3 linked regions of the Drosophila melanogaster genome follow. The protein of the gene in region 3 interacts with the protein of the main gene of each other region in a pairwise test. Each region holds a gene or a part of one and is shown on either strand. Other genes may lie near its edges.

The links.
Region 1: the proteins of Cp190 (region 3) and mod(mdg4) interact in binary tests that used the Drosophila melanogaster proteins (3 or more experiments, as listed by UniProt).
Region 2: the proteins of Cp190 (region 3) and CTCF interact in a two-hybrid assay, tested with the Drosophila melanogaster proteins (3 studies listed by BioGRID).

What each region holds. Positions count from the first base shown.
Region 1 is NT_033777.3:21,373,056-21,380,201, reverse strand, and holds the start of mod(mdg4) (modifier of mdg4), read left to right. Parts: upstream 1-2,800; 5' UTR 2,801-2,914; intron 2,915-3,125; 5' UTR 3,126-3,169; coding exon 3,170-3,383; intron 3,384-3,460; coding exon 3,461-3,600; intron 3,601-4,289; coding exon 4,290-5,142; intron 5,143-6,626; exon of another isoform or gene 6,627-7,121; coding exon of another isoform or gene 7,122-7,146. Other genes in the region: tin (tinman), read right to left, coding at 771-955. UniProt on the Drosophila melanogaster protein: Component of the gypsy chromatin insulator complex which is required for the function of the gypsy chromatin insulator and other endogenous chromatin insulators.
Region 2 is NT_037436.4:7,351,732-7,359,355, reverse strand, and holds CTCF (CTCF), read left to right. Parts: upstream 1-2,642; 5' UTR 2,643-2,775; exon of another isoform or gene 2,776-2,896; 5' UTR 2,897-2,898; coding exon 2,899-3,289; exon of another isoform or gene 3,290-3,350; coding exon 3,351-5,314; intron 5,315-5,376; coding exon 5,377-5,478; 3' UTR 5,479-5,778; downstream 5,779-7,624. Other genes in the region: pst (pastrel), read left to right, coding at 1-505, 576-665, 741-910, 981-1,818; qm (quemao), read right to left, coding at 6,963-7,121, 7,258-7,385, 7,459-7,561.
Region 3 is NT_033777.3:15,269,221-15,278,564, forward strand, and holds Cp190 (centrosomal protein 190kD), read right to left. Parts: upstream 6,022-9,344; 5' UTR 5,905-6,021; intron 5,571-5,904; exon of another isoform or gene 5,392-5,570; 5' UTR 5,297-5,391; coding exon 4,895-5,296; intron 4,837-4,894; coding exon 3,837-4,836; intron 3,772-3,836; coding exon 2,831-3,771; intron 2,771-2,830; coding exon 1,823-2,770; 3' UTR 1,212-1,822; downstream 1-1,211. Other genes in the region: Zip88E (Zinc/iron regulated transporter-related protein 88E), read left to right, coding at 1-120, 184-385, 517-895, 965-975; CG4338 (uncharacterized protein), read left to right, coding at 6,394-7,218; MRG15 (MORF-related gene 15), read right to left, coding at 7,365-8,350, 8,394-8,509, 8,566-8,680, 8,741-8,813; l(3)neo43 (lethal (3) neo43), read right to left, coding at 9,023-9,221, 9,283-9,344. UniProt on the Drosophila melanogaster protein: Plays a central role in chromatin domain organization and boundary function through recruitment by a range of insulator DNA-binding proteins, including ZIPIC, pita, CTCF, su(Hw), cliff and others.

The DNA of each region.
Region 1 (7,146 bases), 6.1 Mb from region 3:
TCCTGCTGGCGCGACAGGATCCATGGTGACATCATTTCATGGCTCATCAGGCAATTAAGGACGCCCCTGTGCGGCGGTCCACACATGCGAATCACACATGTTGACCAGCCCAGAAGGGATCGGGCGGACCAGCGATCGCCGTGACTCCCGACTGCCTGCCTCGGACATTGTTGTTCTTATTGTTAACACTGTCTCTCCTCGTCTTTGTCTTCGGCCTCTTGTACAAATAACGATGATTTGTCAAAGCCTCGAGCTCAACGCTCAACGCTTGACGCTCTCCGATCCCAGATCCTATTTGCAATTCATGCTTTCTATGTGTTTTCATAGGATTTCTTCTGCTACGTCTCGGCGGAAGGTTATCAAAATATTATCTTTCTTTGGAAAATTGGTAGAAATTAATTTTCCTATGGAGCCCTATTAAATAAAAATAAATAAAAGCGATCGGGACGGGGAAGGGCGCTGTCTTCGAGAAGAAGTCACTGACAGGTAGAAGTGGTGGAAATGTCCATGTATGCCAGTTGATAGCTAAAAATGGCTCAACTAACAGTTGGTCTCTCTCTGAACTGCACAGATACCTTCTTAAATCATTGCAATTTAGATAGTTAACCGGTATAATAATTAGTTTTATATCATATATGTACACTGATTCGATTTAGTAGATTTTGGTAACATGTAGAACACAGTACCTTGGAACTAGTCTATTGGTGTACCCCAATTTTTAGTTGCTTTTGACCCTTAATGTATAATTGATTCAAAACTTCCAAGCTTACCCATCGATATGCCCGTAGGAACCTTCGTAGGCCTCCGTTTGGTTGACCATGTTCAGGATATCCTTGACCGAAAATGGAGTGGTGTTCAGGGCATCCGCGTTCGTCAGGCTGCCCGGACTGGGGGACTGAGTGTAGTGATCGTAGTAGCCACCCGATTGAGCCTGCTGCTGATGGTGCTGCAACATCCTCGCTGTGCGATCACTTGGCCACTTGAGAAGCACTTCGATTTAAATAAGTCCAACAATTTGCCAAATCGCACTTGAACTTGCGACACTTGAATTGGAATCTCGGTAGTCCAGTAATCGAGCAAACACTCCACGCAACCGTTAGCGCAACCGTAAGTGAGTCGTAGCCCGTAATCGGCAATCAGTAGTCCGTAACCCGTAAGCCGTAAAGCGCCGTTCCGATGCGCACTCGACCGTGTCTGCAATTTGTCAGCTCGATTTTGGTACTGAACGCGTACTCCTTTCACCCCAGACCGCCTCATGCCACTGTGTTTTTGGATGTGTGTGAGCGAACTGAGCATACGGGCAAAATGGCCGCCCCGGAGCCAATCACAGCACAGCATCGGAATGCGAGTGCGGCATCTCGCTCTTCTGCGCTAGAGATGTGCGAGGCTGTCATATGCTTAGGAGATTTATAAAATATGTATCCAAATATAAAAAACTAATTTATGTATTACATTTGTAAATTTAATCTAATAGCTTAAGAATATATATGGTATTGACAATATATTTTAAGTTCTGTCCATCACTAATTCCAAACATGTATGCTTGTATGCATGTATGAAAGTATCTTTGCACAATCGCACACATTGTACCTGACTATCAGATTCAATAACCGACTCCTCCAGCTGCTCCCCGTTGTTATTAGTTGTTTGTTCGCAGCCACTTTATGCTGATTTTGTTTCGCTACTTGAGCTTAAGTATCCGTATTTATTATCGTAAAGTCCTTAAGTTTTATAGTCCCCATGTATTTACGTTTGTCCGCGCGTCTTGTGTATTAAACGGTTGTCAAGTGGCGCTCAAGTGCAGATTTTCGCACACTTGATTTTAAGAGTGTACTAAGCTAACAAATAAATAAATCGTGGGGAATATGTTTGGTTTAAACGTTACGCTCTCATATATTATTGTTTATTTCACTTGAAACTGTTATGATTTAATAGAGATGAATAACATGGATATGTGAAGTTGTCTAAATAGAGCAACATTTTTAATAATATTTCGCCTTTATGGGATGAATACCTTCATTTCGAATCTTGGCATTGCACCAAAAACGTGTTCACATATGTATATAATTGCATATGTAGTGCATATGTACATACAGTACACAGATATACATATTATGTACATACATATTTTGTTTGGTATGTTTAAGAACTTTTAGCGAATATTTGCCTTTCTTATAATCCTATTAAGTCACTTTTTTTTTAAAAATATAGTGCCCTTGTGCATTCAGAGTGTAGGGTTTACGTAGTGACGATGCGCTCCATAAGAGTTTGTCAGAGTTATAATGAATTCCGCTAGAAAATAATCCTCCATTCGTAAAAAATCGAAGGCCCAGTTTAAAAAATAGGAGAATTTAAAAAAGTTAAAATTTTTCTGTTTATCTTATGAATTTTATTCTAGTTGTGCTAGTTTGACTGCTAGTCTTTAAACTCGTTAATTTGTATTTTGTTTTATTTCATTTAAAATAAATTAAACATTAAGCTAGACAACAAAACTGTTGTGAAATAAGAAATTTCGTCATAACATAAATACATCGTATACTTAGGCCGATATTTTCTTAGTCCTACAACCTTTTTTAACACACCCGCAAACTAAAATCCTACAGCATATGTAAACTAAAGTATGTAAAAGTTTTCAAAAAGTTATGAACTTAATTATGTGATTTTCGTACTAACATTTAAAAAAAAAATATCAAAGCACATCAACTATCAATATTCATAAAAGTATTTCGATATAAATATTTTAAGCTATCGATATATTGTCACTTTTTGTTTTGCCATCGCCAGCAATCTCGTCGCCTGGTAACACTTCTAATTTTCACGTCAAAGAACTCGGACGCGTTCTGCGTGTCGGCCGCGCTAGCAAAAAACTCTGGCTTTAGTTAGTTATTTTATTGGAAAAATATTTAGTCAAGAGGTGAGTAATGGCGCCCCAAGTGAATATACACAGTAGGTTGCGGTCATTAAGCGAGATAAATGTAATTTACACACACGCACACACAGACAGACGCGTGAAAATTTCCCAGTTTTTTTTGGCTGCAGTGCATTCTATTTTGTGTGTGCCTTTGCCATTTTTCAGCACTCGCTGCATTGAGTTTTAAACGCGCATTGCACTTTTTCGCCTGCAGCCAACAAACGCATAGATACAGAAAAGTATTGATTTTCGTCCAAGATGGCGGACGACGAGCAATTCAGCTTGTGCTGGAACAACTTCAACACGAATTTGTCGGCCGGCTTCCACGAGTCGCTATGCCGCGGCGACCTGGTGGACGTCTCGCTGGCCGCCGAGGGCCAAATAGTGAAGGCCCACCGATTGGTGTTATCCGTCTGCTCGCCCTTCTTCCGCAAGATGTTCACTCAGATGCCGTCGAACACCCACGCTATCGGTGAGTTTGTGCCCCTCAGCTCAGATCTGTAGCTCTACGTGATTTTTTACCTTATACTCTCTTCGCCTATCTTGCAGTATTCCTGAACAACGTCAGCCACTCGGCGCTGAAGGACCTCATCCAATTCATGTACTGCGGCGAGGTCAACGTGAAGCAGGACGCCCTGCCCGCGTTTATTAGCACCGCGGAATCGCTGCAAATCAAGGGGCTAACGGATGTGAGTATATGTATACATTTGTGTGCGTGATATACTGGTATATCGAATCGAGCAACTACAACGCAACCTTTCGCGCCCAATACATACAGACGCGATGGCTGGCGTCTGTATAAGAGCATGGTTTGACTGTACCGAGAAATTTCTCGCAAACCAAATGCCAAAAGGCACGCGTGCCAGAGAGAGACAACTGCAGGGGCTATACGCGAAGCGTTTGTCTCGCTCTGGCTCGCACGGCAGCGGCAAATTGGAGTGGTTGTTTTTGTCTCGCAGCGAATTCGATGCCAAAGCATAAACATTTTTTGCTTTTAAACTAATGTTTAAATTGGGAAATATCTCTTAATGTTTTCGACTAAAATTAACGTATTTGCAAAATTAAATTTAGTGCAGCTGTACCTAAAGAAACAGGCATCGGAACTAGAAAATGTATTATTGTTTCCCAATTCAAGGAAGGCGTACTTTACTAATTAATGGCCAGATTTCTTATTTCTTTGCAAATTCCATTCTAACGGAATAATTCTTTTCAACATATAGTTTTGAAATCGTCCATTTTATTAAATGCAGATACTTTTAAAGTTTATTAAGTTTTGATCGTGGTTCATTTTTAAAGAGGTGCTAGAACATACAAAATATCTTTTCACTTATTCCTAAAATATATGTTAATAATTAAAAAACCAATATTTTTTTTTCAGAACGATCCTGCGCCTCAGCCGCCGCAGGAATCCAGCCCGCCGCCAGCAGCACCTCATGTACAACAACAGCAAATACCGGCTCAGCGGGTGCAGCGCCAGCAGCCTCGCGCCTCCGCCCGCTACAAGATCGAGACCGTGGACGACGGCCTGGGCGACGAGAAACAGAGCACCACCCAGATCGTCATCCAGACCACGGCCGCACCCCAAGCCACCATTGTACAACAGCAGCAACCGCAGCAGGCGGCGCAGCAGATCCAATCGCAGCAGCTGCAGACGGGAACCACGACGACGGCGACGCTGGTGTCGACAAACAAACGCTCTGCCCAGCGCTCCTCCCTGACCCCCGCCTCCTCGAGCGCCGGCGTAAAGCGCTCCAAGACAAGCACCTCCGCAAATGTTATGGACCCTCTCGACTCGACCACTGAAACTGGAGCCACGACAACCGCCCAACTTGTGCCGCAACAGATCACCGTGCAAACCTCTGTGGTCTCTGCGGCAGAAGCAAAGCTCCACCAGCAATCGCCGCAGCAGGTTCGACAGGAGGAAGCCGAGTACATTGATCTCCCCATGGAATTGCCCACGAAATCTGAACCTGACTACTCTGAGGACCATGGCGACGCCGCCGGCGATGCCGAGGGCACCTATGTGGAGGACGATACTTACGGAGACATGCGCTACGACGACAGCTACTTCACTGAAAACGAGGATGCTGGCAACCAGACTGCGGCAAATACGAGCGGTGGCGGAGTGACGGCGACCACTTCCAAGGCTGTGGTCAAGCAACAGTCCCAGAACTACAGTGAATCATCGTTTGTCGACACCAGCGGGGATCAGGGCAACACAGAGGCTCAAGGTTGGTTGAATTGCAAAGCATACATGGCCAGAGGCCAATAGATATAAGCAATATTTAAAGGACATTAAGTCCGCTTGCGAAATGCAAACACGTTAAAAAAAAGATCACATATGTATTCCAAACTTGAACACTTTCCAAATCTATTAGCGTCGCAAGCGGATCATGTCCTTTTAGAGTTCGGCAAAGTGCGTTTAATTTTGTTTTGAACAAACTTAAGCTATACTTCGCTGGCCATTAGTTAATAAGTAGTTTACGGGCCTGTGTTCTATTTCGAATCGACAAAGAGCACTAGGCAGATCTGCTGTCCGATGCATATTTGTTAAATGCTGGACGGAGATCGCGCGGTTTTACACTTATTCAGTTAAAAGGTAAGTAGAGTGATGAAATTTTAAGAAGCTGCTACGATGGATATCTGATGTCAACGTGAAGCCGAACCCGTGAAGAGCTGCAACTACTCAAGGTAATACCGGCACTCTTAAAACCACACCTATCCATATATTTTTCCAAAATTTGCAGGCATTTGTAATTGTTTATTTGACTGAGCAAAGCGAGTAATTGGAGTTTTCAATCTTACATGATCAGGGGGTTATTATTTGGGCATGCGCATTTCTGTTTAATAATGATCCTCTGGTGATGCTAAGGCTACTGAGGTTTGTTGTTATTTATGTTTTCAAACTCGTACTTAAAGATGTTGTCTGGATTTGTTTAAGCAACGTAAAAGCTTGCTGATGCAAATCCAGCAACGGCATTGATTGCCGAGTCTTAAAAAAAAAATTGTATTTATAACGCTGTGTTATAGTAAAGGTTCATTTCTAATCGTTTTAGTGGTCACGTAAAAAAAAAAGGAAAGATTTTAATAATACGTATAGGGAGACTCTTTTAACGTTATCAGTGGAGAGGAAATTTATTTCTTCATGCAGCGTCGATTCTGTTTTACTTTTTGCGTGCTGATTTTGTTTTTTCATTCCAAATTTTTTGTATGGAACATTTTGCGTGTTTTTTTTATATGGTTCCGAATTAAAGGGTGTCTGAAGAATTTCACGATATTTACGGATGTCGCGGTAACCTTAAACAAAAAAAACAGAATATACTAGACCTCTTACCTAATTGGTAAGAGATAATCATAAACCGTTTTAATTCATATAGGCGATAGTTTATATACCTTGGAACAAAAGGTTGGACCGCCTTGAAGCATTTCCGACTTATATTTCCTTTATTTGTAGTAGTAATTTTCGTTTTTTTATTGTTAAGCGTATTTGAGAAAATTTATATTAACGTTTGAATCGTGTAATTTATATTTTGCGCGCCTGGTCCGGATATTTAGAAAGTATCCACAGAATATATTATATATATATTTGTAGTATGAAAAAATAAAGAATTAAAATTTGAATTAATGCGGAGTTGCCATTTTGTGGAAATTGAGGACGGTGTTGCCACTTCCGGAAACCCTAATTGAATGTGCAGCCCTGGTGCTTCGGCTGTGTGGCAACGCCGTGCAAATTCATTAAAAAAATGCAAGCCAATTTGTTTTGTTATTTTATTGCATCCGAATTACACGGCCTATTTGTTCACAATTAATTATTTCCAGCTTGTGACGGTGTGTTTGGTGTGGTGTTTATTTAATATTTAAAGTGATGGGGCTGGTAAGGGGGGCAACGCCTCCCTATTTCCACCCTTTTGATAATCTGTGATAGTGCTTATTTGAAAACCAAGCGATGCAAATGCTACCGTAAGTTGTAAAATGCCATCCCGCCGCATTTTGGTAAGTTTTCTACCACCAAACCCAAGGGTCCTCCGGTTCACTGATTGCGAATAAACTGCTTAAAGCCAAAGTCTAAACTAAACGTTGTTTTATTTCGCCGATCCTAACTTAACGCTTAAGCCATATATGTACATTCACTAGAATAGCAACTAGATCATCTGTCAATTATATTATGCCCACTAAACCCCATGCTTTCGGTTTTCCTCGACTCTCGCAGATACGGAGATCAGTTTCATTCGCAG
Region 2 (7,624 bases), on a different chromosome or scaffold from region 3:
TTGCTGCAATCTGTTTATCGACGAGCTTGGTCGGGTCTACCAAAACTGGGAGATGTATGTGACCACCAACGAGTTGCCTGCCGGAGTGATGGTGGCCCCAGAGAAGGGTATTTACCGCTTGGTCAGGGATCAAGTACGTCTGGATAAGTACACAACGCCGGCGGGCACGACCAACAGGAAGGTGCTGGGCTACCTGGATACTGGGTCGGCAGTCGGAGGATTTTTTGCTGCCTGTGTGCCCATTGCTGCCCTGCTAACGCTGCCCGTATCCGCTCCGCTGATGGGCGCAGCGGGAGTAGTAGGTTTGGCCAGTGCTGGATACGCCGCATCGCGGTCTGGCAGCAAGCTATTCGATCGCAGCCAACATGAGCAGTCTATCAATGTGACGGACCGCGAAGCGCGTGGTCACTGGTTGGGCGTGGCTGGTGGCACTGTGGGATTGGCAGCGGCTGGGGCCACCACAGTCTTGACAACGGCCACAAATGCTGGACGCGAGGTGGGAGCGGTGAGTCCTTAAACCCCCCCCCCCACGCAATCAACAATGGAATAAAAATGTTAAATATGTACTCACATAGATCACCCAACTGACTGTGAATAGCATGAACATATCCTCGATTGTGGTATCGGGCACTGGAGTTGCCAATGGTGTGCTGGATCTGATATTGGCAAGTCTCGAAACTTAGACTGTGATTAGATTAGGCTAGATAGATTAAACTTATGAAATTTATGATCTTCCACAGAAAGCAAAAGACGGTGACGAAATAGTTGCGATGGATGTTTTGCAATTGTCCGCTTCGTTGGTGCTGCTCACGCACAGCGTCTACAACTTTAAATTGGCTTCGACCATAATTAATGAGACAAGCAATGCTAATATTGCCGACTATCGTAAAAACCTTTCTAATAGGCAGCGGTAAAAAACGTTCAATGAGATACATTCTGTCGTAAACAAGAGTTTCTACTTGTATTTTTTTTACCATCAGGCGAACCTTTGACAAGGCTGCCAAGGAGACCGTTCGGATGCAAGGCAACACTCGCGGCAAACTGGACATTATACGCAACGTAAACGAAATTTCGCCACAAGAGTTTAATGATCTTTTTAAGATCAACAAAAACTTGAATCAGGAGGGCGTGCGATACTCATTCGCACCCGATGGCAAAGGATTTTTACTAAATGGCGATGTGCAGACGACGGGTGCGGAATTGCGAGCTAGTGTACAACATAACCAAGGAGGGAATGTCCTAGGCAAAGTTAGTCAGCCCATTCCCGGTAGCCATGCGGGTTCTGGTCGCCTTCAACTGGGCGGCGTTAATCAGGTTTCCCGTCTAATCGGACCGCTGCCCACATCCCATCCTCGACAGGAACCCAGTACCTATGCCGCCGGCGTGTTCGCCTTGGAGCTAAGCTCTGTGTTGGTGGGCGGTGTTGTTTTCGTACTGGAGAAATACGGAAAAATCATATTTGAGCACGTGATCAATGCTGAAAGTTTTGAGAGCCTAATCAACATCATGGCCAATAAGCTTGATCCAAAAGTCTTTGACCATATAATGCTATTGACCAGAGCCTTCATGGACACCATGCTGGAAGACCTCACCTCGGTGCTAAAGTTCTTTATATCAACGGAATCCGTTCTTTACCGCATTTTGTTGTACATTTTACGGAACTTCGAGGACGTGCAACTTTCGGTTATTGCGGATCACACTTGTGAGATCGTAGAAGCCGTAAGGGTGTACTTCATGTCCCTGAATCCAAATGCGTTCCCGGGTCTCCTTCAGAAGTGTCCGAAATGTATCGGCCACTTCAGCGTTTGTCCCTTGTAAGTGTTTAACGAAATGGTTCGTTTAACATTAGAATTCAAGGGCCATCAGCATGTCATAATTGATGCCCAATTGTTTAACCACAAAGAAACGTTAGCTAGTTCCGCAAATAATCAATGGGATAACTTACTTAATATGAGCACAAATTGACAAAGATGAAATTGTTTTAGCATTTAAATAAAGATTTTATTAACCCTGTTGAAATAATTGTAATAAAAGGAGAATTTTGAACCGGAATGGTTCTGATTTCCGGTTTTCGAACACAGAATATGTGAATCATTCATTGTGTAAAGGGGATTTTTTTTAATCTTTAAGAGTAATTCCTAAATTTACAATCTGATGTCATCTATACTATGGTATAATAGCAACAGCCATACCACCAAATCATTGAATGCCTTAGAATATAAGTCATAAATTCAAGTATCCCATAAGAACAACCCCAATTCTGGTGACAATAACAAATCCAGCCTGCCCTAATGTAACCATTAACATCTGCTGCCGAATCCGTTATTCCCACCAAAGGGTCAAAACCGCTAACGCAGCTCAAGTTCTCGGCTGATCAGTACCCATGAGCGATCCATCCACTCAAGAGGGCACCCAATCCAACAGACATAAACATCCGCAGGGGCTTTCGCGACATCAAAACCGCTTACGCAGCCCAAATCCTTGGCTTATCCAGTATCCAAAAGAATACAGATTATATTTTTTATCTAATAAATTACCGTGGATTCGTTATTATATATTTTCTGTTATCAAGAATTAAAGATAGTTTATATAGAGATGACAAGATACGAAACCAATCGAACTATCGATAGCTGGCGGTACTGATGCTACATGTCGCCATCTTTTATTAGAAATGGGCAGCTGTTTCATGTGGACGCAAATTAAATTGTAGATTTAACAACAATAACGACAACCGGCGTCCCTTTCAACATATTTTTTATTGGCAACCAAGTGTCGGTAGGTGAATTGAATCAAGCGGGATTACAATTGGTCGTTGCGAGAAATCGATAAGCGCCCTCTTCGGGATCCCGGTCATCCGCTGTGGGTCGCCACCAAAACAAATCCAATTTGTCCATAGGAATGCCAAGGAGGACAAAAAAGGACGAGGACCCCGAGGATCTGCAGACCTTCCTCAACAATTTCCATAAGGAGATCGAAGGCAACAGCGATGAGAAGGTGGTAAACACGATTTTGGAGGCCATCAGCGCCGAGGCCATCGACTTGGATGAAAATGGTGCGGAGGCTGGTGGATCGAAACCGATGGAGGAGGCGGAGGCTGATTTGGATCATGCGGAGGAAGCGGAGGAGGAGGAGGAGGACGACGAGGATAAGTATTTCATAGATGACGAGGGCAACTGCTATATCAAGACTACGCCCAAGAAGCAAAAGGAGCTACAAAAGAAGCTCAAACAGGCGGCTGCCAAGCCGGGGAAAGCTACACGTTCCGTGGTCAGTACAGCCACCAATAAATGTGAGTTACCCTTTGCCATATATGTGCGTGCATTTGTATCACTTGCTCGACTCTTTTTAAGCCATCAATTTGCGGCCAGCCAAATCGACACCGAAAGCGACTACTTCGAAGCCTCCCCCAGAACCCAAGGCAATTAGCGTTCGACCAGCCCGAGCAGCTGCAGCCAAGGCGAAGCAATCGGCGATGCCACCGCCACCGGCATTAGTGGTCAAAGTACCGGCACCCAGGGGCAGGCCTAGAAAGAACCCTGTCATACCGAAGCCTGAACCCATGGACTTGGAGCGGGAGCTCGAGGAGCTGGTAGATGAGCCCGACATCAGTTCAATGGTGACAGAATTGTCGGACTATACCGTAGACGAAGCTGCCGTAGAGGCAGCAACAGCTACGCTGACGCCAAACGAGGCTGAGGTCTACGAATTTGAGGACAATGCGACGACAGAGGATGAGAATGCCGACAAGAAGGACGTAGACTTTGTGCTAAGCAACAAGGAGGTGAAGCTGAAGACAGCTTCTTCTACCAGCCAGAATTCGAATGCATCGGGACATAAGTACTCATGCCCACACTGCCCGTATACGGCGAGCAAGAAGTTTCTGATCACGCGCCACTCACGAAGTCATGACGTCGAGCCATCCTTCAAGTGCTCCATCTGCGAGAGGTCCTTTCGATCGAACGTGGGCCTGCAAAACCACATAAACACGCACATGGGCAATAAGCCGCACAAGTGCAAGCTCTGCGAAAGCGCCTTCACCACCAGCGGCGAGCTGGTCCGTCACACTCGCTACAAGCACACTAAGGAAAAACCGCACAAGTGCACGGAGTGCACATACGCCAGCGTGGAACTGACCAAACTGCGCCGCCACATGACCTGCCATACGGGCGAGAGACCATATCAATGTCCGCACTGCACCTACGCATCGCAGGACATGTTCAAGCTGAAGCGACACATGGTTATCCACACCGGCGAGAAGAAGTACCAATGCGACATCTGCAAGTCGCGATTTACGCAATCTAACTCACTAAAGGCCCACAAGCTCATCCACAGCGTGGTCGACAAGCCCGTCTTTCAGTGCAACTACTGCCCGACGACTTGCGGTCGGAAGGCTGACCTGCGCGTTCACATTAAACACATGCACACCTCTGATGTGCCAATGACATGCCGGCGCTGTGGCCAGCAGCTGCCCGATCGCTATCAATACAAGCTGCACGTTAAGTCACACGAGGGCGAAAAGTGTTACAGCTGCAAGCTGTGCAGCTACGCTTCGGTCACCCAACGCCATTTGGCCTCACACATGCTCATCCACCTGGACGAAAAGCCGTTCCATTGCGATCAGTGCCCGCAGGCCTTCCGGCAGCGTCAATTGCTGCGCCGCCATATGAATCTCGTGCACAACGAAGAGTATCAGCCACCAGAACCGCGCGAGAAACTGCACAAGTGTCCGAGTTGTCCGCGGGAGTTTACCCACAAGGGTAATCTAATGAGACACATGGAGACTCACGATGATTCGGCGAATGCTCGCGAAAAGCGGCGTCGCCTTAAATTGGGCCGCAATGTGCGGCTGCAGAAAGATGGCACTGTCATCACGTTGATCAAGGATCAGTATGTGGATATGGACCGGGACCAGGAGGAAAACGAAGAGGATGACAACCCAGAGAGCTATGACTTGGCTGAAATCGAGCCGGAGAACTCGGAGGCTGAAGACGCCGATGATGATGTGGAAACCATAGTCAGTGATCCGATCCGTCAGAGAATCAAGCCAGCACCTATCATTATCAACAAACAGGCCAGGCTTGCCGCCTCCGAAAAGCAGCCGATGATCATCAATCAACGCCTCCGAAGTCAACGGGGCACCAAGACGTTCCACATCAAGGAGGAGCCGGACAACTCGGACTTCACCGTGGAATGGCAAGGGGATGATGGCGAGGTAATGGTCGTAGAGCTGGTTAATGGCGACGAGGAGGTGTTGGTCAAGCACGAACCGAGCGCCAACTCCAAGATCAGTGCCAAAAACTGCTTTGGTTTCGAGGTTAGTTGCAAAAACTTTAGCTGGCATTTGTTCCATTACTCAAAAATTTGGTTTTCATGCAGGACGACGATGATTATGAGGAGTATGGCGATGGGGAAAACGAGGTCGATGGCGCTTCCCAGGAGTTTCTGCAGCTGATGGATATGATTGAGCAGGACTCTTAGTCTCCTGAAAACAAAAGCTAATGGATAAGTAATTATGACTAACTTATGTACATACCAAGCATACAATAACGTATTTCTACGTTACATTGTTTTCTATTTAAATACACATTTAAAACAGTTAGGAAACCTATTTTTACTAGGTTAAGAAATGGATATTAAAAATGTATTCTTTCTAAATGAATGTATAATTCTGGATAAGCAGTTAACATGCCGATATGGCGACTATTTGTAAATGATCCCCGACACTTAAACTTTAGTTGACAACTTGGCATAAATATTTATTTAAATACATTTACATATATTTCAATGTTTTCATTAGTAGTATATAGTATATGGGCAAAATGTTAGGTGCGTTTGCGTTTAGCTGCATCTGGGCGTGCACTGTAAATTCTCGGCTATTAGTTGTCGTTTCTACCGTAAAATGTTCGCATAGTTTATAGTTTTCCATTTCCACTTCAGCAATCTGGTTAATTTTCTTGTTATTTTTCCGGTTTCTCTTGCCGTTTATTTCTTTTTGTTTCTTTCATGTGTATAACTACAATAAAAATATATATATTTTTATATATAATATATGTATATATTTTTTAGGTGGTGCAATGTGCAAAAACCTGCCGTGCAGTGCATCATTATCATTATTTCAATATATATAGTTGCGTTCATTTGTGTTGATTTTATAGTGTCTGCATAAAACATTAACAATTTGTCGTTAATAGTACATATGTATGTATGTATACGAATCGCATTTGTATAACAATTAAAATGGAACAACGTCGATAAAGGAAGTGCACATTGAGTTCCGAGTGAGTTAGATTTGATAAAATGACACTTAGAAATTGAAAATTGCTTGCAGAATTGAGTTACGAATACGAAACACACTTAGAAATACAAGAGCTAAAAAATTGCATATTCTATAATTCAGTAATGCTCTGCGAGATTTGCTTGATCCCCACCCCCCCCCCCCTCTCCCATTCGTTGGGCGAAACTAAAACTGGGGAAACTAAACGAGCTAACTAACTACGTAACTTTGAAGCAAAACTAAATTAAAAGTATAAAGTAAAATGTAAAAGTAAAAAAACAAATTCTTGGAAAGCTGTAATATGGCTCTTTGCTAGCTCAACGATAAGCTTGGCTTATATCAATTTACTTTTGGCTTAACAATTTTCTGTAAGGCTGCTGTTGGTTTTGTTATCCATCCCATTTCATCCGATTCACTATCAAATCCAAATCCTATCCTCCTCCTATTTCCGTTCTCATCGCTCTGGTTTCGGTTGACAGTAAGGTAGGGGTTCTCTGTGGGCTTTTCGGTTTGGCAAAGGGTAACATAAATCTCAGAATATCTTCAGCTTCTGCAGGAAACGCAACAGGGGCGCACTGAGGCACGCAGGCGTCGGCTGGCTGCTGGCCTGCTGCTGTCCCGGATTGGCGGCAAAAGAGGCTCTGCCGTTCGCAATTCACGACTGCTCCCTCTTTTGCCTCTTTGGCTGCTAATTGCAATTGAGCGTGTTCTGGTTGGGGCTGCTGCGTGAGACGTTGTTGTGATTGATCTGGTTCGACTGCGTGATGCTGGCGCTATCGCTCGTCTTCCACGACAGCAGCTTGTTGAGCAGGCGGTCCATGTACGGATTGCTACCCAAACGAGCCACCTGTGTGGGTTGAGAGATTACTTTAGTTTAGCACAAAACACGTAGCAACGATGGGATGTGTGCGAATTTCTACTTTTAACATCATCAAGACTTCCAAGCAACTTCCACTTCCCATTGCTTGTCTTCAAGTACTAACCTCCGACCGAGCCTCTGCGTCGAGCGACTCCAGAACCTTGCGTGTATACTGAAAGCTGCCCAGCTTTTCCAACAAGGTGATGCAGTACTTCTTGACCTCAATGTCGTGCGTGCGCTGGCGTAATATGTCTGTGGATATAACCATAAGCCATCAGCTTAATGAGTGAAAAGCCTTTGGTTGAGGTCAAGACGTTGGACTTACGTAGAACCTGTTTATCCTGCTTTTGGGTGCGAACCGCATGGATTACCGGGAAGCCGAACTTGCCCTCCGTCAAGTCCTCGGCGAAGCTCTTGTTCTCCGTGTACTACATCGGAATGTTATCACAGATTAACAATGACTTATGCATATTGCCAACCAATCTATACAC
Region 3 (9,344 bases):
AGCAACCGAGCCACCAAGACGTCCCACTAATGACAATGGTTATGGCGCAGTGGACGAACGAGCGCCCCTTTTATCAGCGGAACCCAATACGTCACATGGGCATTCGCACCATCATAGCCAGTAGGTTTATTGCATTTCCCTTCCCGCAGCCAAAACTAATTGCTTTGTGCTTCGATTACGCAGCGATCATGACCACAATCACCCGGCCAGCGCATCTGGCTGTAATGATGCCAGTGTAGAGGACGCCAACGCCCGCATCTGCCACACCAGCCACACGGAACCCTGCGCCCAATCCATGACAGGCACTCTGGGTCTCTTTGTCGCCCTGTCACTGCACTCGGCCATCGAAGGACTCGCCATCGGCGTTCAGAACTCTTCCACAAAGGTCTGTGCCGCCTGCCTTGACATAGTTAGACTAGATCGGCTATAGTGCGCAATCTTAGGCAAATATTGAAGCAAAGAGATGCGAGGGCTTAGTCCAATTAGATAACCGGAATCTGCTTTGTCTCGTCGTAGGTTCTGTTTCTTCTAGGGGCCGTCGCCTGCCACAAGTTCGTGATGGGCTTTTGTCTGGGGCTCGAGTTCCGCTCGAATCCGCAGACGAGTTTTCGCGCCCAGTTCGTCGGCATTTCGGTGTTTGCCCTGGGCGCCGTCATTGGCATTGGCCTGGGCATGCTTATCGTGGACGTGCCCGCCGCTTGGTCCAGCAAAACTCTGCCTATCGTCCAAGCTCTGGCCGGAGGCACACTCTTCTACGTCACCGTCTGCGAGGTGATACCGCGCGAGAAGGCGCGCTGGCACTCGAACTCAACGCGACGCTGGGCGGGATTTGCACAGTTTGCAACTGTGCTCGCCGGCTTTGCGACCATGTGCATCATAAACTTTTATCTTTCTGGTGCGTAGCATTATGTGATTTGCATTTCCCTTTCGACATTGCTGACCTATTTTCTTCGCGCCTTTTCAGATGAGGATTAGACATCTTTTCGTTGAGAAATCGTTTCAGCGCTGTGAGAAAATGTGCCGCTTTTTAAACTTAGAACACTTAGGATAATATTATGGATTGGCAGCTGTTAATCTCTTGTGTAAGACTTGTTACTTGTGCATTTCCAACTAATCTTGTTTTAGGTACATTGTCGATCTGCCGTAGGATAAGTAAAAAGTTCAGTCTTCTCGTCTACATTTATATTTTCTCTTTCTCCAAAGTTTGTGTTATTTTTTATGCTTTTATTATATGTAATAAACCTTACAATTAAGTTGTTAATCAAAAAAAGGGCATCCTCTTTTCCTTTTGATTAATCTTACTTAGCCAACCATTAAACGCAATCATTTTATTACTTTCTGGGGACATCATGTCACTGTTTTAAACGAATTAAAACAACATCTATGTAACTACATCTCTATATGTATGTAAATAGGCATATGTGTATATATATATATAGTGTTTACCTAATCGTGAAATGTTGCTTGGTTGCTCTATTGGTGGTGTATGTGTGAAGAAACGGACACTCATAAATAGCTAAATGTTGGGTTGTTTGGTCTCTGATCTCTCATTTAAGGTCATTTGGGGAACTCCTCTTAGATTTACGATTTTCATGCTAGCAGGGCAACATACTTGGGATGGGAGGGGATTTACAATTACGTGAGATGAGTAGATTAGATCTTATACACTTAAACCAGTGCATATGCATATCTTATCATTCACCTTGATCTTCATTAACAATTTAATTTACAATAGAAACCGAAAATTCGCGCCGAGCTCAGGTGCGTTTATCTGCTGACCTGCGTTGAATCGCCAAACTTAGAACATAAATAAATCTAGTAATTATAGCTCCTCCTTCGCCGCCGCACTAACCCCATTCTCATCCTCGTCCTCATCGTCGTCACCCCATTCGCTAATGAGGCTCTTGACCTTGTCCACGCTGGCTGCTTCACCTGACGTTGCTTCATCACCTGCTTTTGCACTTTCTAGTGTCGGCTTTTCTGCAGTGGTTACATCCTGTGTCTGGTTTGGTTTGTCCTCGACGGCTTCCTTCTCGTCTGCCGTTCTAGTATCTTCATTATTTTCGGCTGCTTTTTCCGCTGCTGGTTCATCAATCTCCATTTGTTCGGTAGATACCTGCGTAGGTGGCACCAGGTCATCCTCGTCCGTTACTGACCTATCTAACGCCTCTGTCGTCGCATTCTCTTCAGATTGAACAATGTCCTTCTCCTGATCAGGTTTCTCGGCCTCGGCAATTAACTCATCTAGCAGCTCTTTGCGTATGTTATCGGCCTCTAGATGCACATCATCCTCGCCCTCAGAGGCAGTTACCGCCTCTCTTAATTCCGCCACGGAATCGGAATGCGGAATTGGTGAATCCTCTTTGATAAATTCCTCTTGATCGTTTTCAAGCTCAGCCTCTTTCTTGATCTGGACCTCGGCCTTCGAAGCCTTCTCGTCCGCCGCTTCTGAGTCCACATCCATTTTCTCGGGCTGACTATTTATATTGGGGACTGCGTCAACTGCATCGTCCGCACTGGTGACAGACTCCTCACTTGCCTTTTCTTCAGTTGCCTCTTCGGGTCCCTTGTGTAGAGACTGGAGAGCCAAGTCAATATCATCTTCTTCCTCGTGTACTGTTGGCTCAGGGTCCTTGTTGGCTAGTTCGGATGCAAGCTCTGCGGTAGCGGGCTTATCGTCGACATCGTCATCGTTCTCATCCTCCGTCCAGTCGCCGGTAAGCTCCTTTAGCTTTTCACTAATGTCATCTCGCGGCTTATCCGATTTTGGCTGTAAGTTGTATGACTCATGTTGTAGATGTACTTGCATAAAAGTGTTTAATAAACTCACCTCCTTGTTGCTCTGTTCTTCAGACTCGGCTATAAGGTTTTCGGCCCATTCCAGGTTGTCAATGGACTCTTTGCTTTCATCAGCAATGTTCTTTTTGGCGCTCTCCACAGAGTCGGCAGCACCCAGTTCGCTATAGATTTGACTGTCATCATATTCCTCTTCGGTGCCGGCCAGGGATTTTTCATCGGTCTCCTGCTTGACGTGCTCCGCTTCTGGCTCACTGAGCACCATTACCACACCGCCGGCAGTGGCGCCTGCTTGCTGCTGGTTAAGCTGTGAGAGAATCTCTTTGCGCTGCTCATCAGTAAGCTCCACCTCATTGCCATCGGCGCCCACGAATTTGACTTCCTGCTGCACCTGTTCAACATCTTCCTCTTGCAGTTGCTCCTGTTGAGCTTGCTGCACTGTGATGGCACTGGTGGCTGGTAGACTTATGTCCGAAAGGATTCGCACTTTGCCAGTCTGCTCTGGTTCCTGCTCTTCGTCTCCTTCGGCCTCTTCCTCCTCGTCTTGCGAGCCGAGGAATTCTTCGTCCGTTTCATCGATAATGCCATCCTCCAAAGCCTGCTCCTTGTGGTAGCTCTTCATGTGTCTGTACAGCTGCAGCTCTTGCTCGAACACCTTGTTGCAGTAGATGCACTGCTGCTTGTTGTCGTCCGTGTGCACCTCGTTTATGTGCGCCTCCAACTCACCCTTGGTCCGGTAAGACTGGTTGCATAGCGCGCACTCGGCAAACGTATACAGCAGCGACTTGGTCTGGTGCTCCATATACATGTGGAAATGCAGTTCCCGGTTGTTGACAGACCTCCACCCGCAATGCTCACAAAGCGCCGGATCAATTGTCTCCTTGTGCGTGTTGATCAGATGGCGTCGGAAGCCTCGGTACGACGGAATGCTAATGGGTCGTCCGTTTACGCCGCATCTCAGGCACAGCCAGGGCCCTGAAATATAGATATTCATTAGTAGTTGTTTTTGGGAACCTATTACCTACAAATGTTGTACTCACCAGTAGTATTCTCTGCTCCCTGAGCGATCAAGGCGTGCATTGTCTTACTATCAATGCGTCTCTTCTGGGCTGCGGCTGTATTTGCTGGTGGATTCGCCCCGGTTCCCTGGTTACCGGTTGTCTGCGAGGTTCCCGACTTTTGCTGAGAGCTAGCCGCCTTCTGTTGTGCTGTGATTAGTGGCGTACTCTTGTCGGCTTTGAAAGAAACGTGCAGTTTCTTGTGTGGCGATGTAGTTGCGGATGACTGGTTCGCCGGGGGTTTTACTGTCGCTGGAGCAGATTTTTCGGTCGGCGCTGCCGGGGTATTGGGCATAATCTTTAGCTTTATGTTTTTGTGGCCCTTTACAATGTGCGGATACTGGCGCAAGACTTCGGCAATGATCTTGGTGTGATTCAGCTTGGCGTTGGAGGAGTCCTTGACAATTATTGTTGGGGTCTGGCTGGGTGAGTCCTGTTTCAAGATAATGGTGGTGGATCCATGTTCTAGTTGGGTCTGTGTACCCTGTGGGGATTGCTGCTTAGATGTAGATGGCTGCGGTGGCATATCATCGTCATCATCGTCCCCGGCATGGACATCATCATAAAGCATTCCTCCATCGTACTCAGGATCGTTATCTCCGTACTCAGCGGCGATTTGCTTTCGCATCCGTTGTTGCTCAGCGAATTCCTTAACCTCTTCCAAACTGGGCTTCTTGGATGGCGGCGATAGCAGGCTTGTCTGTGCTGGTCTCTTGTTATTGTTATAACCCTTTCGCAGCTGCTCGAATGGTGACGTTGGCTCCTGCTTCACATTGCTACTATCTCCATACGGCGAACGATTTGAGCCACCTGATGTTCGGCTCATTGTGTTGCCAGTTGACCCGCGCTGTGTGTTGGCTCGTTGCGCGATGGGTGTGGCTACGTTTCGCGATTGCGGCGAAGGACCCAAGACGCGCTGTTGTGGAAGACCCGAACTGGGCTGTCCAACTGTGCGCCGGCGTATTCCCTTTGGACTAGGCGGCTAAAGAAAATAAAAGGTTACAAAATATTTTCACAAATGATGAATTGCCACCACTCACCCTTTGCTGGCGATTAACGTTCTCCATGGTGCGACGGTGCGCCTCTAGCAGCTTCAACAGCACCGTCATGTTCATTTCCTTGGCGGTGCGCAACAGCTTGCCGTACATTTTAAGCTCAAACTCCAGGGTGCCTGTGTACATGAAGTTGACAATGGGCACCACCACGTCCGCCTGGAACTCGTTGGGCATGATGAGGGCATCGTCGACGATCTCGCAGGTCTGCTCCAGTACATTGAAGTAGTCGGTGCAGGCGCTGAGCACCAGACGGTGTACCTTTAGCTGTGAATTGTCCCGAAACTGCAGCGTCAAATCGCAGTAATCCGTTTTATTAAAGAAGTTCTGCAGCTTCTGCAGGAAGAAGACTCCCCAGTTGTCCACTTTCACGGACTTGACTTCACCCATATTGCTGTGTGCTTGGCTAGTGGCCGTGCTCTCCGTTTCCGTATCCTTATCGTTAGCCTCCCCGTGGTTTCGCTTGCTCTGGCTTCAGGGCGCAACTGTACTCACGCAGGGGTAAGGAGTCGGAAAAAGCGTATTGGGATGGGACGCAGGTGAATGGGTAAAACAAGAAAGAATAACAATTAGTAAGTATGGTATATTCCGCTGTTAGTTTCAAATAGACGCCCGTTGATTTTGGGTTATTCGGTTTATTTTGCTCTGCCGCCACGGCGCGAAATGCAACTCGCAAATATCGATATACGCCTGTGTACGTGTGACAGTTTCGCGGGCGTATGTGTGCGATGTGCGCGTCGCCAGGCTTCTTGTATTATTTATCAGTAATTGTTCATTGTCCGCAATTCTGCAATGTTTTCTTGTAAGTCCAACTTTGGCATCTTTCGGTGGGTGGCATTTTTTGAGCCCTTTTGGCGCGCCTGTCCACTTCACACAACAATGGTTTTTTTGGGGCACGCACAAATCACTTTGACCTCAGCGGCTTGTTTACTGCGTGTCCTTTGATTGAATGTACTTTTTTCAGACAATCGCCGCACAATTGCACTTTTAATACATACATTTCTTTGAATTGCACACTACTTTTGCCGGACAAATTATAATTTTTTTCCAGAGTCAGGTCGCCATATTCTTTTCCATTCATCGTTGGCGTGACAGGGTTGCGCTCGGCAGCTATCGATAGCCATGCGATAACCTCAGTCTCATGCTTAACATTTTTAAGGTGACGTAAACGCAGATGAAGTTAATCGTTAAGTCTAAAAATATTTGAATATGATATACTTTAAGGTTATTGCAGTTTAAGCTAAATCTTACTAAACACAATACATATACTTAAAATACTTTAATAAATATTGTTTTGCAGTTGAAAACAAAATACATTTACTTAAACTATTGAAATTTTGAAAAGTGACATCGTAATGTGTCACATTTCTTGCGCCACCCTTCTTTGCAATCAAAATATATAAAACGGGTCGTCGGCTTGGCCACCACGAGACGTTAAAAACACTTTGATTCTTTTTTGCTTTGATAAAGTTTTAAACCAAAACATAATGAGTGGACGGAACCGCGGCAAAGGAAAGAAGGGTGGAGGAGGACCCTACCGCAATGTCAAAGCGAATCACAATTGTGCCCGCAGCTTTGCTCAGCAGGCCAACGAGCTGGCCAGCAGCAGTAGCAGCGAAAATGAAAGTTCCGACTCGGAATCCTCGGGAGATGGAGCCCAAAATGATCTCGGCCAGCCGCCGGAGTTTGCGGTGGCCATGTGGGACCTCAACCACTGCGATCCAAAGAAGTGTTCGGGCAGGAAACTGGCACGCCTAGGACTCATTTCAAATCTTCGACTGGGTCAGAAGTTTCCTGGCCTTGTCCTCTCGCCCGTTGGCCAGTTGTGTGTAAGTCCGCTGGATCGCGATGTGGTGGCCTCTTCGGGCGTGGCCGTGATCGACTGCTCGTGGGCCAAGCTGGACGAGACGCCCTTTGGAAGGATGCGCAGCCCACATCCGCGACTGCTGCCCTTCTTGGTGGCCGCCAATCCCATCAACTACGGAAAGCCCTGCAAGCTCAGCTGCGTGGAGGCCATAGCCGCCACTCTATACATCTGTGGATTCACGGAAGAGGCTCGCTGGTTTCTGGGCAAGTTCTCATGGGGTCATGCCTTTCTGGAGCTAAACGACAAGCTTCTCAATGCCTATGCAGCCTGCAAGAGCAGCGATGAGATTGTTAAGGTGCAGAATGAGTACCTGGAGAAGGAACAGCAGGAGCGGGATAAGCCTAGGGATCTTCGCGACTTCTATCCCACCAGCAGTAGTAGTAGTAGTAGCGAGACGGAGACCGAGGGCGATGATGAAGACACAAAAGCGAAACCGAAGAACTAATACAAGGTGCTGACATTTATTACCTTATGACAAAACATTTTACTTGTGTTTTAATTTACAATTTGGGAGCAAATTGAGAGCAACCACCGAATTATTGCAAACTGTTTTGATGAAATATTTACTTCAAGTCAAGAAAAGATTATTGCTTACTGTGCATTTCGCACGTACTCGGGATCAACGTTGATAAAGTTGCTCATGCTGAAAAATATTGAGCTGTTCTTTACGAGGAATTTAAGGAAATCCTGCACGTGCGTGAGTAGGTTCTGCATGGACTGCTGATCCAACGCAGAGTAGCTGAGCATTGAGCCAAGGCGGACAAACAGACGCAGCAGGTGAAAAGATCCGTAAAGCTCGGACAACGGTGTGTCCGGATGCTTCTGCATCACATCCGCGTACTGGGTGCGTTCGAATTTGTACAGCAACTGGGAGCCCAGCATTACATTGAAGTACTCTACAATTCCGTCGAGTACATCGTTTATGGCAACCTCCTTGCTGGCACTGGTCGATTTCACGGACTTCTTGTGCGCCAAATACTGCTCAGAGATCTGCTGCACGGTAACCTTGGCGGGCAGCTCCAGCAGTTTGTGCTCCCGCACCACCGCATACCAGTCGTCGGTCAGATAGTGCTTTAACTCGTCGGGTATCTTAATCTTGACCTCCACCTTAGCTGCGTAGGCCTCCTCGCTTTCCACACACGGTGCCGGCTCCGTGGTGGGTGTGGATGGAGTGGTAGTGGGCGGCAACGGCTTTTCTGCTACATCGCTTCCCGTAAGAGAAGGCCGTTGTTCGCTCATTCTTTTCTTTTTCGGCGCCACCGGCCCCTCTTCCTCAGTGGTCTCAGCTGCGGCGGGGTCTTCCTTTTTATCACTCGGCGTGCCAGGTCTTGCTGTGGATGGCGTCGATTGTGTGGACTTTCGGTGGGCCCGGCTGGTTGTAGAGTTGGCGGTGCTGTTAGTAGTCGTGGTGCCAGTGCTCCCGGCTTCCGATTTGCTTCCCGGTCCGGCGCTAGTTGTTGGTGTGCTGCTAGCGGTCGATTGCGAGGTGTTGCTATCCTTAGACGGCGTCGAGGCACGAGATTCGTTCCGCATCTGTTCCATTTTCTTGGCCTTGGCGCTGCCTGGTATGTAAACACCTTAATTTACAACTCCAGGAATTGCGTTTGTTACTGAACTCACCTTTCTTATTATCCTTCTTGGAGCGCTCGCCGCACTGGCGAGCCAGTTCCTGACGTCGCTTGACGTTGTCATCGTTGTACTTGAGGACTCGGTTCTCGGGCACCCACTCGTCCCAGCTGAAAATGAAATGGCTTTCATGCAGATCGGTGTTCATACTAGTAGCTTTGCTCACTTTTTACTCCAGCCCGCGTAGTGGATGTAGTACTCAACCGGCGTCGCATCGGGTTTTGTTTTCAGAACCTTGGCCTCGTAGATGAGCGGTCCGTGGAAGCACAGAACCCGTTCCCCTGCAAATGGCGCCAATGTGTTTAATTTGATTTATAGTTGGGCTTAAGTTATTGCCCTACCATCCACGAACAGAGTGTTTGCATCGGTCCCCGTGCTATAGTTTTCCACTTTAGCGGGTTTTACTTCTCCCATTTTATTTTCAATAATAGATAATTAACAAATCCTAGAGTGACCGTGCGTGACGCATAGGGCTATCGGATGGGACAGTACCGATGCACTTATCGATTATTTACAGGGTATTGTCTTGGTAGATATTAACAATATTGATTTATTTATGACTATGTACATCAAACAGTCTGTTTTTATGGGTTGTTTTCTTAATGATTTTGAAGGCATCAAGTCTAGTGCTTCGCTGTCGTCGGCTGATCTTCCTGCTCCTCCCAGGGACGTGGACCGCGTTTGTTCTCCCAGTTCTCTATGTCCACGGACTTGACTTTGTCGTACTCCGACTCCAACGTCACATCCTTGCGGTTTTTCATGCTTACGCCGTACTTTTTCATCTCCTCCGGCGTTACCGGCTGCTTCTTGGCGTACTGATACCTGTAAAGGGAGGAGACTCATGAGTTAGCTAAGGATTTCCCGGAGATTCTTGAATGCTAGCCTGAGGTTGGAGAACTGCTGCAGTCCAAAGGAGCCAGCCACCATCATGATGAGGAAGGGTAT